Linked DNA regions of Callithrix jacchus. The protein of the gene in region 1 interacts with the protein of each later gene in a pairwise test. Links are inferred from orthologs where the notes say so. Each region holds a gene or a part of one and is shown on either strand. Other genes may lie near its edges.

What was found.
Region 2: the proteins of STK16 (region 1) and SAXO1 interact in binary tests that used the Homo sapiens proteins (3 or more experiments, as listed by UniProt). The two-hybrid records come from large-scale screens. The link is inferred for Callithrix jacchus from reciprocal best matches to the Homo sapiens genes STK16 and SAXO1.

The regions. Positions count from the first base shown.
Region 1 is NC_133507.1:140,986,053-140,994,038, reverse strand, and holds STK16 (serine/threonine-protein kinase 16), read right to left. Parts: upstream 4,742-7,986; 5' UTR 4,560-4,741; exon of another isoform or gene 4,334-4,559; 5' UTR 4,230-4,333; coding exon 4,144-4,229; intron 3,578-4,143; coding exon 3,358-3,577; intron 3,125-3,357; coding exon 2,991-3,124; intron 2,869-2,990; coding exon of another isoform or gene 2,825-2,868; coding exon 2,704-2,824; intron 2,599-2,703; coding exon of another isoform or gene 2,579-2,598; coding exon 2,483-2,578; intron 2,071-2,482; coding exon 1,949-2,070; intron 1,843-1,948; coding exon 1,704-1,842; 3' UTR 1,352-1,703; downstream 1-1,351. Other genes in the region: GLB1L (beta-galactosidase-1-like protein), read left to right, coding at 7,318-7,386, 7,593-7,759. UniProt on the Homo sapiens protein: Membrane-associated protein kinase that phosphorylates on serine and threonine residues. In vitro substrates include DRG1, ENO1 and EIF4EBP1. Also autophosphorylates. May be involved in secretory vesicle trafficking or intracellular signaling.
Region 2 is NC_133502.1:125,541,909-125,549,656, forward strand, and holds part of SAXO1 (stabilizer of axonemal microtubules 1), read right to left. Parts: intron 3,651-7,748; coding exon 3,448-3,650; intron 2,765-3,447; exon of another isoform or gene 2,192-2,764; intron 1-2,191. UniProt on the Homo sapiens protein: May play a role in the regulation of cilium length. Stabilizes microtubules at low temperature.

The DNA.
Region 1 (7,986 bases):
GCTGCCTTCCCCTTCATGATGCCGCTGCCCTCACTGTTTGCTGCTAATGATCCTTATCCCTTCCATGGCTGAAGATGAGACCTGCCAAGGTGTCCTTGCCAGGCCCAGGAAGCATAACCCCAGGGAGTTTAAATCGAAGTCCTAGGGGTACCTGGGATAGGGAGGAAATGAGGACCAAATCCAAACACAAACTATTGAAGGATGAATCTTCAGTTTCTTTCAAGTAGAAGTTTAATCCAGTAGTTTATCTTTGAGAGTTAGACTGCTGCCCTGTTCTTCCTGCCGCCTCTACATTTACAAACTGGAAGCAAGGCTTGGCCCAGGCTCCTCTGCATTATGAGGGTTTGGGAGTGGGGCTGGGCTGGCCTAGAGTTCCTGGGCATGGAGCCACGTCATAAGCTTGGGGGATGGGAGGGAACACAGGCGATCTCCTAGAGTTGTTTGTGCTACTGCACCTCTGAGCAGCTTTGCATAGCTTCCTGTCTTGCTGCTTTGCTGGAGCTGGGGCTGTGCCATTAAAAGTCAGGTCATCTCCCCTCTGTTTGTGATTTATTTCTGGCCTCAGCCTCAGTGCTAACTGGTGGGAGACTCCTGCTAGGGCCCCCGGGAAAGCTTCAACTTTGCCAACAGGAGCCCCAGGCCCCATGCTGATGTCAGCCTGCAGGGTGGGCATGGTTGGAGGGAGGAGGCTTGGATCACAACCAAAGGAGATGCCAACCCTGCCCTTGCCTTTCCTCCCGCCTTTCCTCCCTGGTGATTCAGGGACAGTGCCCTTCCCTAGGGAACAGGTTTGACGTCCAGCTAAGACAGGGCCCCTGTTTACTCAGCAGAGTAGGCAAGAAGTGGCAGCTGGATACTGCCATACCACACTGCCCCATTAATCATTAACCATGTATGAGCTAGAACCATCAGGGAGACATGAGCCCAAACAGCTGCCACCTCCACTCCCCTTGCCCCTAGGCTGAGGATGGGAGATTGTAATGTAGCTGTCCCAAAGCTTCCTCAGGTGTCTCCACCCAGAGGCCCTTGCCTGGCAAACCGGCTGGGCTGCTTTGACAACTGCTCAACCCAGGAGTGAAGGAAGGAAAGAACTAGTTGGGTGCTTTTAGGGGGCCTTAGTCCCAGTTTTGACACAGGCAGACACCAGCTTAAGCCCAAGCAGCTTTAAGTTCTGATCTAAGACAAACTAGAACTGTCCACTGCTAACCAACCTCCTTCCATGGAATGAAGTCACACCACTGCTGACTCTGCACCAGTCCCTCTTCTTCCCAGGTTGTTCACCTGGAAATGGCAACCAGACTCTGGGTGCCCTGCACCTCTTCTCTCACTCCAGGAACACTGAGACTTAAGATCCACTCCAACCTGTTTCCTCTTTATTCTTTATACATTCTCCTGCTCCCAGATTTGGAGGCAGAACATGATATGAGCTCAGCAGTCCCACTCAGAGCCATGTTCCATATCCCAGCAGTTTCCCTTTTCCCAACCCCCACCCACCCTCACTCAGTAAGTCTCCTTGCCCAGGTTTTGCTCTTGGAGGTAAGAAAGCAGAAGAGCGGATGCAGGACTGAGATGACTGTCCTGACCCCGTGACCCCCAAGTGTAAGAGAACAGTATCCTGGATGGAATTAGGGGAGATTCCAATGAGGGATAGGAACCTCTTTCTAAGGCCTGAGGGACCACCTTCTCAACATGCCGCTGCTTTTTCAGATTTGGGTAGTGTGCTGGCCAGGAGCTGGGGGCTGTAGCACCTCCAGCTGACTGAGGAGTTGAGGAATGTGAGGACGCTGCTGTGGGTCCACGGTCATCATCGAGGCCAGGAGCTGCCGCAATGCTGAAGAATGCCTGTGGAGGGAGGAGCTCAGGGAGATTGGATGACACCTATCCGCCAACTCAGCTAATACCAGGGGGGAGTCTGAAACACCTCGTGCCACATTCATTGCTTGCTCACCTGGGGCTTTGTGGGATGCTGAGTTGGTTCTGCACAGCAAGGGCCACACTGTCACCCTTCTGGAACACCATGTCATAAGGGCCTTCCCCAAACATCATGGCATATAGCACGCAGCCTAGGGACTGAGTATAACTTGGTTAGTACCTAGAAGGGGACCAATGGAGGTGACATCTCTCTCCTTCTGTGGTAAAAGGACACTATATAAGCTAAAAATATGCTGACCTCAGCCACATGGTACCGCCAGGGCCCAGAGAAACTGCCAGTCAGCCAGAGGCCTCTGTAGCCGCTGCTTAGCCAGTGCCTTCAGTACTGACACTGAGCTGTATTCACCCTGTTCAGGGGCAGGGATTATACCACATCCGGTGCAATTGGGTACAGTATCAGTAACAGTTCCCAGGAAGGAAGTTGAAGTGGATGGGGACATATTGTGGCTCCTGGGGCCCCATGCAACAGAAACCAACAACCTACTCTACTCCACAGTGGGTACAGAGCCACAGCCCTCCCTACCCAGATGCCCTCCTACATGCTCCTCACCCAGACATCAGTCCGCTCATCGATGACACAGTGACTCTGCACAGAGAAGAGTTCTGGGGCTCGGTAGGAGATGGTGCACCGCTGGGCTGCCCAGTCCTGGAACAGTGGTCCCAGAGCTCAAAAGTGGAGCACAGGGCATGGTCATGTGACCAAACCGGGGCATGCACCAGAAGGGGCGGAATGGGGAACTGGTGAGAAAAGGAGCATGGAGACTCTTTTACCTGCAGGGTCAGGGCCTGGCGGGAGCCCTCCACGTGGATGCATGCTTGATTCATGGAACCCAAGTCCATTAAAACTGGCTGCCCTTCGTCTCCAAGCAATATATTGGTGGGCTTCAGGTCTCTGTAGGGAAGTAGAAATGACCTGGACATCTCTGGACAGGAAGCCTGGAATCCCGGTGAGCAAAAGAGTCATGCAGGCTGTTTCTTGAGAGAACAGAGACCTCCCATTTCTCTTAGTGAGGCTCTTCCTCTGGGCCCCAGCAAGCACACAGGGTCCTCCCACTGACCTGTGGGCATAACCCTTGGCATGAATGGCCTCAAGCCCTCTGCAGATCCCCAGCAGCAGCCGAAGGATTTGATCCTCGGTCAGGAAATTGCCTTTGTCCTTCAGCCTTTCTATCTCATTCCACAGCGTACCTCTCTGCAACACAAGTTTCCCTAAAGTTGGAGATGTTTTTGGAGCCTCTGCTCCCTAGGCCTGATCCCTTCCATGTGTCAAAGCCTATCAGGCCTTTCATGACACACACCTCAAACCCCAAATCCAAAGCGGCCACCCAGGACGTGGTCCCTGCTTCCTAACATCTGGACTGCTCACACAGCCCTTGGGTACGTGGCTCTGTTGCAACCCCCTCCATAACCAAGAGTCTTTCTGACCTTGAAGAATGGTAGCAGCAGCCAAGCCTCATGCTTAGCACCCCGCTCCCTCAGACAGTAAGCCACGAGGTGAAGGATGTTGGGGTGATTGAAGAGGTGATGCATGTCGGCCTCTCGCTGGGCCTCCTCCCGGTCCTGCTGCTCATGACACAGGATTCGCTTCAGGGCGTAGAAGTGTCCATCATGTAACCCTTCCACTAGGTCCACATAGCTGAACCCACTGTGGGCCAAAGGGGTCAATGAAGGGCCATGGTCATCTCCAACATGGCTTGGACCTAGAGAAATTTCCTGGTGGGGAGTGGGGTGTTCTTCCCATTTAGCAGAAACCCTCCCAAGATGTGGCTCTAAGTGAAATCTGAAGAATATTATACTGTGAGCTCCTCAGGAGCAGAGATATAGAAATCTTTGAGGTCCTATGGTCATAATAGAGATCTCTGCACCTGACAGAAGTAAATAATAGCCAACACTTATCAAGTACTTAGGAACCAAGCACTGGGTGAGACATTTTATAATATTATCTCATTTAATCCTCACAACTCCATCAGTGAGGCATGATAATCATCTCCATTAAGCAGATGGAAAAAAACATGGTTTATCAAAGTCACACAAAGTGGATTTAGCAGGCCTGGCTCCAGGATCCACCTTCTCGATACCGTGTAGCTAAGAGCTGTCAGGTGAGAGAGGACAGGGATAGGGATAAAACCCTTGTGCCCCAAACATGTGCAGACCGCTGTCCTTCAATGACCATAACCTTCAGGACTAGTTAATTGACTTCCAAACACTCACCCCTCCCCCAGTTTCTGGATGAAGAGGTAGCGCTTATTGTCAATGATGACAGTTCCCCGAGAGCAGACACACAGTGCGTGGCCCATAATGTCTCAGTCATCCTCTTCAAGGACGATCTGAGGCTACCGAAGAGCTCGTCCAAGATGAGTGGGCTCTTCCAGGAGATGCGCTGGGAGCCCAGCGGATCATGCTGGAAAGAAAACAACGGCAGGGTCGCAGGTCCGGCACAATCCAGAAGATTCCTGAAGTCCCAATGCGGAGAGCTCAGGCCCAGGTCTCTGGGACCTACACTACTCTACTGTCTAGGGAAAACAGGCCCTGCTCCGTCGCCAGCTCCAAGGGTGGGGTCAGGGGCCTTACGGCCTCAGGACAGACACACAGCGGCTACCCAGCCACTTCCTCCAACCCCAGCCCACCTTTGGGCAGCCCCACTCCCATGCCCGTCGCGCCGCAAAGGCAGAGCACAGGGTAGTTCAAAAGACGTGCGAGGCTCAAGCCCATTCCTGGCAGGGCCCACCCCTGGCTTCGGAGCCCAGAGCCCGGGGTGGGCCAGCCCGCACTCCCCGACTGACCTGGCTCGGCCAGAGCGCAGCGCCACGGACCGGAAGCAGCGCTGACATCATCAGTCCGCACCGGCGCAACGGCCGGCGATATCTTAGCAACCGCTAGGCAGTCGGAGGATGTGAGGGCGGCGAGCTGAGAGGCCCGGAGCGGGCTAGGCCTGGCGGGGGACGGGTCGCAGGACTCTTGTGAGGGTTCTCTACTTGGCCTTCAGTAGGGGTCAAGACGCAGACACCTGCGCCAAAGGGGAACAAAGCCGGGCTTGGCCCGAGGCCCCCAGGATCTCCATCTCCTAATGTTGGAGGTAGGAGGCTTCATACCTCCGGCACTCCGGGGCAGAACGCCGCCGACTACACTGCAGCCTGGAGGGGGATCCAGGGAGGGGCGGGTCTGGTGGTCTGGATTGCTGATCCCGTACAACTTCCGGGCTCTGGGCTGTATCGCACTACCCTTAGTCTCAGTGATTCAGAGCTCAGGCTTGTGAACCAGACTTTCAGTTTCTAAATTGAATGTTAATAGCATACTAGCTGTGTAAACTCGCGCAAGTTTCTTAACTTCTTGGATCATTAATTTTGGTACCTGAAAAAAGGTATTAGTACCTAAGGTTAAGTAGCTTAACCGTGAGGCGGGACTGACTAGTTGAAATGCCAGCTCTATTAACATAGTTGCCTGACCTTGGACAGGCTACTTAATGTTTCCGTCCTTTCCTCTCCTCCTCTGTGAAATGGAAATGATATTATCTACCTCGTGGACTTGTTTGAAGATTAGATGAGATATACAGTGTTTAATACAATATCTGACACATAGCCTTCAGTACGTGTCAACAGTAATTATTATTACCCTGATCTTCACATCCCATGCTTGAAACTGTAAAAGCAAAAGGAACGGAAATTCACAAATTTCCAAGCCTTGGCACAAAGCAATTGTCCTTGACATCTGTTGCCGAGGCAGGCAGGGGTAAGCTGGAGAAGGGTGCACTTCCAATGAAGGTGGAATGGCCAGGAGGGAATGGCTGTTTTGCTGAAACAGGGGTCTCAGGAAAAAGGTCCTTCTATGACCTGGTTGCCCCCTTCCACACCCCGGATCACGCTGAAGATTTTCCAGTGGTTTCCCTTGGTTCTGAACATGTTTTAGCTCTTTGGTTCTGACATTCATTCATCTAGATTTAACCTGCTGTGTGCCGGGCCCTGTGCTAGAAGCTGAGGATTTGAGATAAAAAGGGCACTCCCTGTCCTCAGGGAGCCCAGTCAAGTCAAGCCATGCTTCTCAATTTTGAAGGTGCCTAAGATCACCTGGGAATCTTGTTAAAATACAAATTTGATTCTATAGGTCTGAGGTAGGATCTGAGATTTTGCATTTCTTTTTTCTTTTTTTTTTTTTTTTTTTTGAGACAGTGTCTCTTCTCTCTGTTGCCCAGGCTGGAGTGCAGTGGCAGGATAGCTCACTGCAGCCTCCGCCTTCCGGGTTCCAGCAGTTCTCCTGCCCAGCTACGCTAGTATCTGAGATTACAGGCTTACGCCACCAGTCCCGACTAATTTTTGTATTTTCAGTAGAGACAGGTTTCACCATATTGGCCAGACTGATCTCAAACTCTTGACTTCAGGTGATCCACCTGCCTCAGCCTCCCAAACTACTGGGATTACAGACGTGAGCCACCGCACTTGGCCAGATTCTGTATTTCTTCTTTTTTTTTTTTGGTTTTGTGTGTGTGTGTGTGTGTGTGTGTGTGTGTGTGTGGTTGTTTTTGAAACATTGTTTCACTCTTGTTGCCCAGACTGCAGTGCAATGGCCTGATCTAGGCTCACAGCAACCTTCACCTCCTGGGTTCAAACAATTCTCCTGCCTCAGCCTCCTGAACAGCTGGAATTACAGGTGCCCACCACCATGCCCAGCTAATTTTTGTATTTTTAGTAGAGACGGGGTTTCGCCATGTTGGCCAGGCTGGTTTCAAACTCCTGATCTCAGGTGATCCACGAGCTTTGGCCTTCCAAAGTGCCGGGATTACAGGTGTGAGCCACCATGCCCGGCCCAGATTCTGCATTTCTTTTTTTTCTTTTCTTTTTTTTTTTTTTTGAGACGGAGTTTCGTTCTTCTTACCCAGGCTGGAGTTCAATGGCGCGATCTCGGCTCACCGCAACCTCCGCCTCCTGGGTTCAGGCAATTCTTCTGCCTCAGCCTCCTAAGTAGCTGGGATTACAGGCACAGGCCATCATGCCCAGCTAATTGTTTTGTATTTTTAGTAGAGGCGGGGTTTCACCATGTTGACCAGGATGGTCTCGATCTCCTGACCTCGTGATCCACCCGTCTCGGGCTCCCAAAGTGCTGGGATTACAGGCATGAGCCACCGCGCCCGGCCCCAGATTCTGCATTTCTAACAATGCTCCCAGGTGACGCTGATGAAGCTGATTGGTTAACTGTACTTTAGCATGATAAAGAGGATTTTACAAACTAGTAGAGTAGGGGGTGGCTGCAGGCTGGAGAGGAGGAAGTCCAGGCTAACTGCCTGGCAACTTGAGGTGGTCTCCGCCCCCTTGCTTGCTGAGGTTCCCTCCCAGGAATCTGACACGTGACAGTCTGTCTGCAGTCTCCGACTAGAGGAGCCTTGTAAGCGCCATGGCTCCCAAGAAGCCATCCTGCCTTCACTCCCTGTTGCTGCCGCTTCTGACGCTACTGCTGCCTCAGGTAAGAAGATGAGGCAGTTGAACCAGTTGACGGGGTGGAGGGCGGGGGGTGCGGTGACGCAGGACCAGATCCAGCGGATAAGAGAAAGTCAAAAGTAACAACGAAGCCACCCTCGGGGCTACTTCCATCTCCTCCGCTTTGGGCAGGCGCTGACCCTCGACCCTCCCTCCAGGCATCTGCTGAGCAGTATCTCTTTCTCTTTGTAGGCAGACACTCGGTCGTTCGTAGTGGATCGGGATCATGACAGGTTTCTCCTAGACGGGGCCCCGTTCCGCTATGTATCTGGCAGCCTGCATTATTTTCGGGTACCGCGAGTGCTTTGGGCCGACCGGCTTTTAAAGATGCGATGGAGCGGCCTCAACGCCATACAGTTGTAAGAAGTGTTGGCAAGAGCCGCGAAGGGGTGGGGTCTACCACCCACTAAGAAAGGAGGTCGGGACGGGAAGACTGGCATGTTTGAACAGGGCTTAGCACTCCAGGACTCCTAGGCCAAGGGTGGGAAAGGACAGGGCAGGACCTCCTTCCAGCCGCTTCCTGGAGATGCCCTGCAAGGCCTGAGCCCGTAGGCCTCCTGGTGTCTCTCCACCTTGGGCTCTGTTA
Region 2 (7,748 bases), on another chromosome or scaffold:
AGTGAAATAAATGAAAGCAACAGTACTGGTGGGGTGGGGTGCATGTGTTGAGTGTTAAGTAGTTTGCTGGGGAGAAGTAGGGAGAACCTCTCTTTAAATACTACAAATAGACCTCCTCTATCCTTGCCAACCCCCAAGACAAGCAAGGAGCATTTTCCACTTCCAGACCTCTCCCTGCACCTAGGGCAAGGTGGGAAAAAGGGAACTAAACTGAAAGGCAGTTGCTCTGAAGAGCCTCTCCCTATGGTAAGATTCATAAACCTACGGGGGCCGTAAAGACCGTGTACAGGAGAGGTGAGTCTGCCCTATCAGAGTCCTTCATTTCCTCCACCAATGGTAGAAAGTGCTTTTTACAGCTTCATTCCTCTATCCCACCTGCTCAATGTCTGTGGTGCCTTATTTCTGGTCTCCTTGTAAACACAGGATAAAAAGGGAGAAGAATGTGTTCAGTAGAGGCAAGAGTGCCCCCCAACACCCTGCCCATGATCATGCACCTGGTTGTAGGGACTCCTTTGTAAAGCACCTGTATGGTGCCTGCTGTGAGAGGGTAATTGGGAACGAAAAAGACCAACAGATCCCTGCCTGTTGGAGCTTACAGCCTGGCCATTAAAAGAAGCATTAAAAGTGCATAATGGGCCAGGCGTGGTGGCTCACGCCTGTAATCCAAGCACTTTGGAGGCCAAGGCGGACAGATCACCTGAGGTTGAGAGTTCAAGACCAGTCTGACCAACATGGTGAAACTGCGTCTTAAAAAAATTAAAAATATCAAATATCAAATAAATTTTTTTAAAAAGTGCATAATGAATGACAAGACAGGGAAGTAACAAGGCACCTATACAGCATCCAATCTGACATGGGGCAAGGGCTGGGAATGTGATCTTTCAGCTGCTAGCTGAAGGATAAGTGCTAGATCAAGGAAGCAGAAGGATTCTATATAGAAGGCATCACGTGTGCTAAACAAATGCCCTGAAGCGGAAGAGAAAAAAGGAAGGCACCTGAAAGAAGGCCCTGAGGCTGGAGCAGAGGTGCTCAGAAAGAAGACACCAGGGCCTCCCAAGGCATCAGAGGAGGCAGTAAAGGTTTGGGTTTTTATCGCCCTAGGATCATATGATTTGAAAAAATAATGATTTTATCAAATGATTTTTTGAGGAGTTTTAAGCAAAGGAGAGGTCAGATCAGACTGCCATGTTTAGAAAACCTCTTTGCTCCCTTTCTGTGGCAAATGGCTAAGAGTTGACAAGACGGGAGGTATGCTCAGGTGTGTACCCAGGTGTAGACATGGAGAAAACAGGATTAGGGCTTTGCCAGGAGGCAATAGCAAAGGGGCAGGAGAGAGAGAGAGTCTCGGCCATCAGTAGGAAATGGGGTCCAAAGATAGCCCACAGAGTAGACCACATGGGGACGGACTTTTGCAGGAGGGGCTGGTGGTAAGAGGGAGGTCTGAGGCATCAATGGATTGGAGGGCCAGCAGGGCTAAGGACTGTCATGGAGGGAGGAGATCAGAGGACAAGTCTGAGGATAAGATGTGCACAACGGCTTCAGAGGTGGGACCATTTCAGGGTATGATAACATTCAGAATGTGGCTTGACATTCTATATAGGTAGCTATACGGGAGTGTTAGAGAAGGAAGCTGAAGAATATAAAAGGGCAGAGCCCAGGTTGCTGAAAAGGCCCATGCTAATCCAGTCCTCAGTGCCTAGAAGAATCAGAGAAACTCAACCATGCACAGGGTCCTCCAGGATGACAGAATTAGAGGCCCTTCCAGGAGCTCATATCCCTCCAACTTTCCTACCTCCACTGCCATCTTCACACTAAATGCTTGGCTTGACTAAATAAAAGCGGCCCTCTTCACAGCCATTTAGAGGTCCATGAACTGTTTAGCACATCCTCCTGGGGCAATGGTGGGTATCACAAGCATGAGTTATTGATTACAAACCTGGTCTCCAGGTTCATGGTCTCAGTCTTTGCAGCTGAGCTCCACAGAGTGGCTGTCTGCTTGCACAACACATATGACCGCATCTTGTGTCTCCACTAGGCTAGAAAGTCAAGGGCAGGCCATTATGCTTCCTTCAGTTTCTAGGGCCACACCTCATAGGTAATATTAATAGATACTCAATAAAGAAAGAAGCAATCCTGTTTACATAAAGTTCAAAACTGGCAAAACTAATTTAAGGTATTAAAAGTTAATATAGGACCCTTTTCACAAGATGGCGCCGAAAGCGAAGAAGGAAGCTCCTGCCCCTCCTAAAGCCAAAGCCAAAGCGAAGGCTTTAAAGGCCAAGAAGGCAGTGTTGAAAGGTGTCCACAGCCACAAAAAAAAGAAGATCTGCACGTCACCCACCTTCCGGCGGCCCAAGACCCCGCGACTCCGGAGGCAGCCCAAATATCCTCGGAAGAGCGCCCCCAGGAGAAACAAACTTGACCACTATGCGATCATCAAGTTTCCACTGACCACTGAGTCTGCCATGAAGAAGATAGAAGACAACAACACACTTGTGTTCATTGTGGATGTTAAAGCCAACAAGCACCAGATCAAACAGGCTGTGAAGAAGCCCTATGACATTGATGTGGCCAAGGTCAACACCCTGATTCGGCCTGATGGAGAGAAGAAGGCATATGTTCGACTGGCTCCTGATTACGATGCTTTGGATGTTGCAAACAAAATTGGGATCATCTAAACAGTCCAGCCGGCTAATTCTAAATATATGTATATCTTTTCACCATAAATAAATAAATAAATAAATAAATAAATAAATAAATAAAAGTTAATGTAATGGTTACATTCTGGTTGGGGAAGGTGACAGAAATGGAGTAGTAATGTTATATTTCTTGATCTGGGTGCTATTTATATGGATGTGTTCAGTGAAAATTCATTGATCTGTGTAATTATGATTTAAATACTTTTCTATATGTATGTTACATTTTGATCTATTTTTTAAACAGGTGAATGAATCAATCAGTGGTAGAAACTAACTTAGCTTAGCTTGAACTTGAAATGTTTCCCCCCAATATAGGATTCAAACTGCATGCTAAGGCAGGGGTTGGCAGATTTTTTGTTCAAGGACCAGATATTAAGTGTCTCACAGACTATAGTGTCTCTGTCGCAACTATTCAACTTTGCCACTAGAGTGTAAAAAACAGCCATAGATACTGCGTAAATGAGTAAATATGGCTGTGTTCCAATAAAACAGGAATACTGAACTTGGAATTTATATCATTTTCACAGTCTTCAAATAATACCCTTTTGATTTTTTTTTCAATTATTAAAAAATATTTAAACATTCTTAGCTCTCCAGTCATACAAAAACAGGCTGCTGGCCAGATGTGGCCTGCAGGAAGTAGTCTGCCAACTCTTGCACTAAAGGGGAATGTACATAAAACACATTTCCTGGCCCGCACACAGGCTCAGCCTGTCTTTCCCCAATCTGCCCCTCTGTGCTCTCCCACCTTTATAAGTAGGCAAACACTCCATCTTGTCACTACACGGATATTTACTGTCCCGAGGTTTGATGGGGTCCACTTGACAGACAGGGTAGGAATTGTAATCTTTCTTATACGTCGTGAGCAAATCCATATTCTCTTCACTTGGGACGAACTGGTCATATTGGTGGACCTTCACTGGTGACACTTTGTGAGGCCCAAAATCTCTCCTGTAAGGAAGCAAGTGCATGCCGTTGGAGTGCTTGGCTTGCAATAAGGCTGTGTTTTCCTCTCAACCCAACTCTACAAACATTTGCTGAGAAATCTTGTTCTACTCTACACACCCCCACACTCCCCAAACTGTTCTTCCTCCTCTATTTCCCACTATTTCCCACTTTTGAGAAAGGTACCATCAATTTCTTCTCACCCAAGTCAGACACCTGTACACACCCTTGACCTCCTTCCTTCACGGCCCCAGAGTCTGGCATTCACCAGTGCCCCTCCACCCCATGGGTTTTTCTTACCCCTTGCTCCAGACCCTGACCATTTCTCACTTGGATCAGGTGACAGCCTGCCACCTGAGCATCCTTCTTTATTTCTCTCACTTCTATTCAATCCCCATAATGTGGCCAGAATAAACTCTCCAAGTGGAAATCAGATCACTCTCTCTCCCCGGTTTAAAAATCTTCCAGGTAAAATTCAACTTTTTAGCATAATTTATAAGCTTTCCTGGACCTGGCTCCTGCCTTACTCACCCTTATCTGTCAAGGTTCCCATCCCACCTGAGTACCCTACACTCCACAATCACAATGCCACCACTTCTGCACCTGCGCCTTCCAACTTCCTTCCACACGACCCCTTCATTGTGGAGCTAACTTCCTTTCAGGTGATGCAGCCACCTTCTCCATGTTCCCCAAAGCTTCTGCTGCTAATATTTATCTCCTTCCTCTACTTAGCCTACAGAAAACCCAGAAGAGGGAAATGGTGAAATAAGTGGAGACCCTGAGTCCTTCATTTCTCTGCTATCTGGTGTCAGTGCCCCCATTATTTCAGAGAGTATGAAAACAATAGGATCGAAAAAGTATAATGGTCTTCACTAAACTGGAAGCAGTCCCTCCCCAAAGTTTCCCAGATAAAAAGGCCCAGATGCTCCCTGCAACGCCCACCAGGAACCGCCTTAAGGAGCCAGGGTTTAGCTTGGACTTGCGTTGCCCTCCAGGGCACTTGCAGCTTCCCATCTCTCAATGCTAGCGCTTCCCTCTGAAGGCTGTCTGCTTCATGCAACAGACTGTTCTTGCCTGGAAGCCATTTATCCAACTGGACAAAGGGAAGGTAGATGTTTTCCCCGATGGTGCTTGCCAGAACAGCCCCGTCAAGGGAAGGGGAAGGTTTCCGGACAGGAAAACATTAAGCCCGAACACCAATAAAATCCACTTCCCAGCCACAATCTGGAGCAGCATTACTGAGACATGCTTGACTAGCAAAGGTAACACGCTCCACTGTAACCTGTCTTGTGTGAATTATACACGATTGTCAGTAAACCCAAACCAGGTCCTGAAAATGCTTGGTGGGATGGGAGGAGGAAGTTAGGAAGCAGGAGAATTAGTCTCTCTAGGGCTCTAAGGAGGAAATGGGAGATGCTTCAGTTGAACTCCCCTAACACCCTCTGGGTAGATTTTAAAATATATCATAGCAGCGGTTATAGGACGTTCAGCCTGGGCTGCCTTCCTAGAGGCCCTGCTGTTAGCCTGAAGTGTCTGGAAGCTGACGGTGTATATCGGGGCTTATGGAGGGAACAGACTGAACAAGAAACCAAGAGTCAGCTCCCACGTCTACTCTTCTCCGTGAACCAGTACTACATCCTGGTGTCTGTCTATTCAGCACTAAACCAGCTGCAGCAGGAAACTAAGAGGGTAAAGCCTTAGACTGCAAAGACAAATGAAAATGCCCAGAAAACTTCATCTGAAAACCAGCTGAGTGGAAAGGGTCTCTGGGTCAGAAAGCATACATTCTAAAGGGAGTACTCCCAAGGAAGTTGAGCTCTCCTCACTCCCAGAAGAGTGGGCCAGATTTCAAGGCCACCAGAGACCATACATTCCTAAACCTTCATAAAGGTGTGTGTTCAGTGATGGCTCCCTAATCCTGCACCCTATTCATTTCCAAGGAGTATTAAGAGGTATTAAGGGCAAGCAATGAGGAACGAAGCTGGGTTCCTGAGCTGCCACACTGAGCCCAGCCAACCTCAGTGCACCTAGGAATGATTTCCAGTTGTGAGCCTGCCACTCTTGGGGATCCCATACCCAGAGGCTATGGCAGCCTCTTCTGTAGTTACTCTGACCGAGAGGACCAGCTTCCTCTCAGGGATGCCGCAAGATCCTCCGTTCAAAGGCTGCCAGGCTCTTGATAACTAAAGTACACTTACTGCTTATCTCCCACACCTTCTACTGGAAAAGAGCAGACAAATGCCCAAAAACGAATTCACCAGTTCACAGACTATCCTGAAATTAGTTTCCTGAAGACAAAAGCCAGTCACCTTCTCCAGTACAAAATTTAAGTTCCTTTGTAAGTGTTCCTCTATGGTTTAATTTATTGATCAGTCATAACTACGGCAAATGATTATGGGCGGTAGGGGGAGGTGGTATCTACTTCTGAAGACAAGAAAAATTTTTAAGTTTGACTTTTATAACCTACCCAAACATAGTTACTGTGGCTTAGGAGTGAATTTAATCTGAATTTATGTGTTTCCTCATTATGTTTTTATGTTGAGAACATTCACTGAAACCTGTCATTAACCACAACAGAACTGCATGTCCCCAATCACACATAATCTTACAGCCTTTAAATTCATGTACAAGAAAAGACTGTATTTTAGTCTTCCCCAAAATTGCTCAAATTAACTAGCTTTTCTTTTTAAGAACACTGGATCTCTTCTCTCTTTCTGTGGTACATTTCTCTGTGCACATGTGACATGAACCAAGAAAAGGAAACTGGTCACAGATATAAGTTTCTTTTAGGTAAGCAGCTGTAAAAGTTATAGAGTAGGGAAGGCCAAGAGTTAAACTCAGAGTTAAGTAAAAGGTTGGAGTGGTCCTGCTGGGAAAGTCGTAACAACTTGACTTCAAATTATTTAGCAAAGCTGGAGAAAGGCGTTTGACAAGACTCTGACAAAAGGAAAGAGGAAATAACGAACAGCGAACTAGGTTCCTGAGCCTGGCGGTGAGAAATGAAGATTTTTTTCACCAGGACAAAAGGGCCACACAACACTTTTTTAAAACCTGTTTTTAATGCTTATTTATGCAAACTTCAAGATTTGTTAGTATGTCCAAGTGATCAATTACATTAAGATGGAATCCACTTAAAAGAGGTTCCTCCTCTTGCCCTGAGCCAACTTCTTTCATCCCTGCCCTCTTTCTTGGGAACCTCATCTGTAGACCATCTCCTAGACTGTGATTTTCCCTCTTCCTCCCTACTGTCTCCTTTCTCCACTGAGTGTTAGCTCCGATCTCCAAAGGTAAAGAGTAAAATAAGACAGTCCTCACTGGGCTCCATTCCACGCCAGTTTTCCCTTCTCTCTTTCAGAAAGGGTGGTCTACAGGCAGACTTGCTTTCCTCTCCTCATGTCTCACCCATCAGATCTGATTCCCCTCAACCTTGATACTCCAAGTATCACCTTGTTTTCCAGACCCAATCACTGCTTCTCATCCTTCTCCCACTGTGCTTTTTCATAGCATCCATCCTCTCAATTTTTCAATAGTCTCTCCCTTGACTTCTGTGATACTACTCCTCATGGTCTGTTCTCTCTCTCCTCTATCAGATTCTGCTCTGTGTCCGTTGATTTGATTGACTTCACTACTTCTACATGTAATTCTCAAACTTTCTAAGGTCAAAAGTCACCCATCTAAAGAAACTGTTCTGCCATCCTAGGCAGCTTGGGGAGTCCATCCCAATGTGCTGCCAAAGGTCCTTGGCTGAATCACAGGGCTTGATTCATGCCCCCAATCCTTATGGGACATAGAGTCCTCCTTACCCTCACTGTAACAGATGGGATTCCAAGCCCACGCACTCCAGGATCCAAGTTACATAGCACCTGTCTTCTTCTCTGCCATCTGAGCCCTCAACTCCCACTAGGGCTAAGGCAAACATCTGTCACGACTTCATATAAACTCCAGACAAAATATTTCAAACAATTTGAAAGATCTAAAGAGGTAGATTCTGGGGAGAGCCAACAGGTGGAAGCAGAAAATGGCACTGTGTGAGGCTTTGCTGATTATTTTCCATTAACTATGAAAGATTCAAAGCTTCCAGATTGAAGGTCAGCTCCAGTCTGT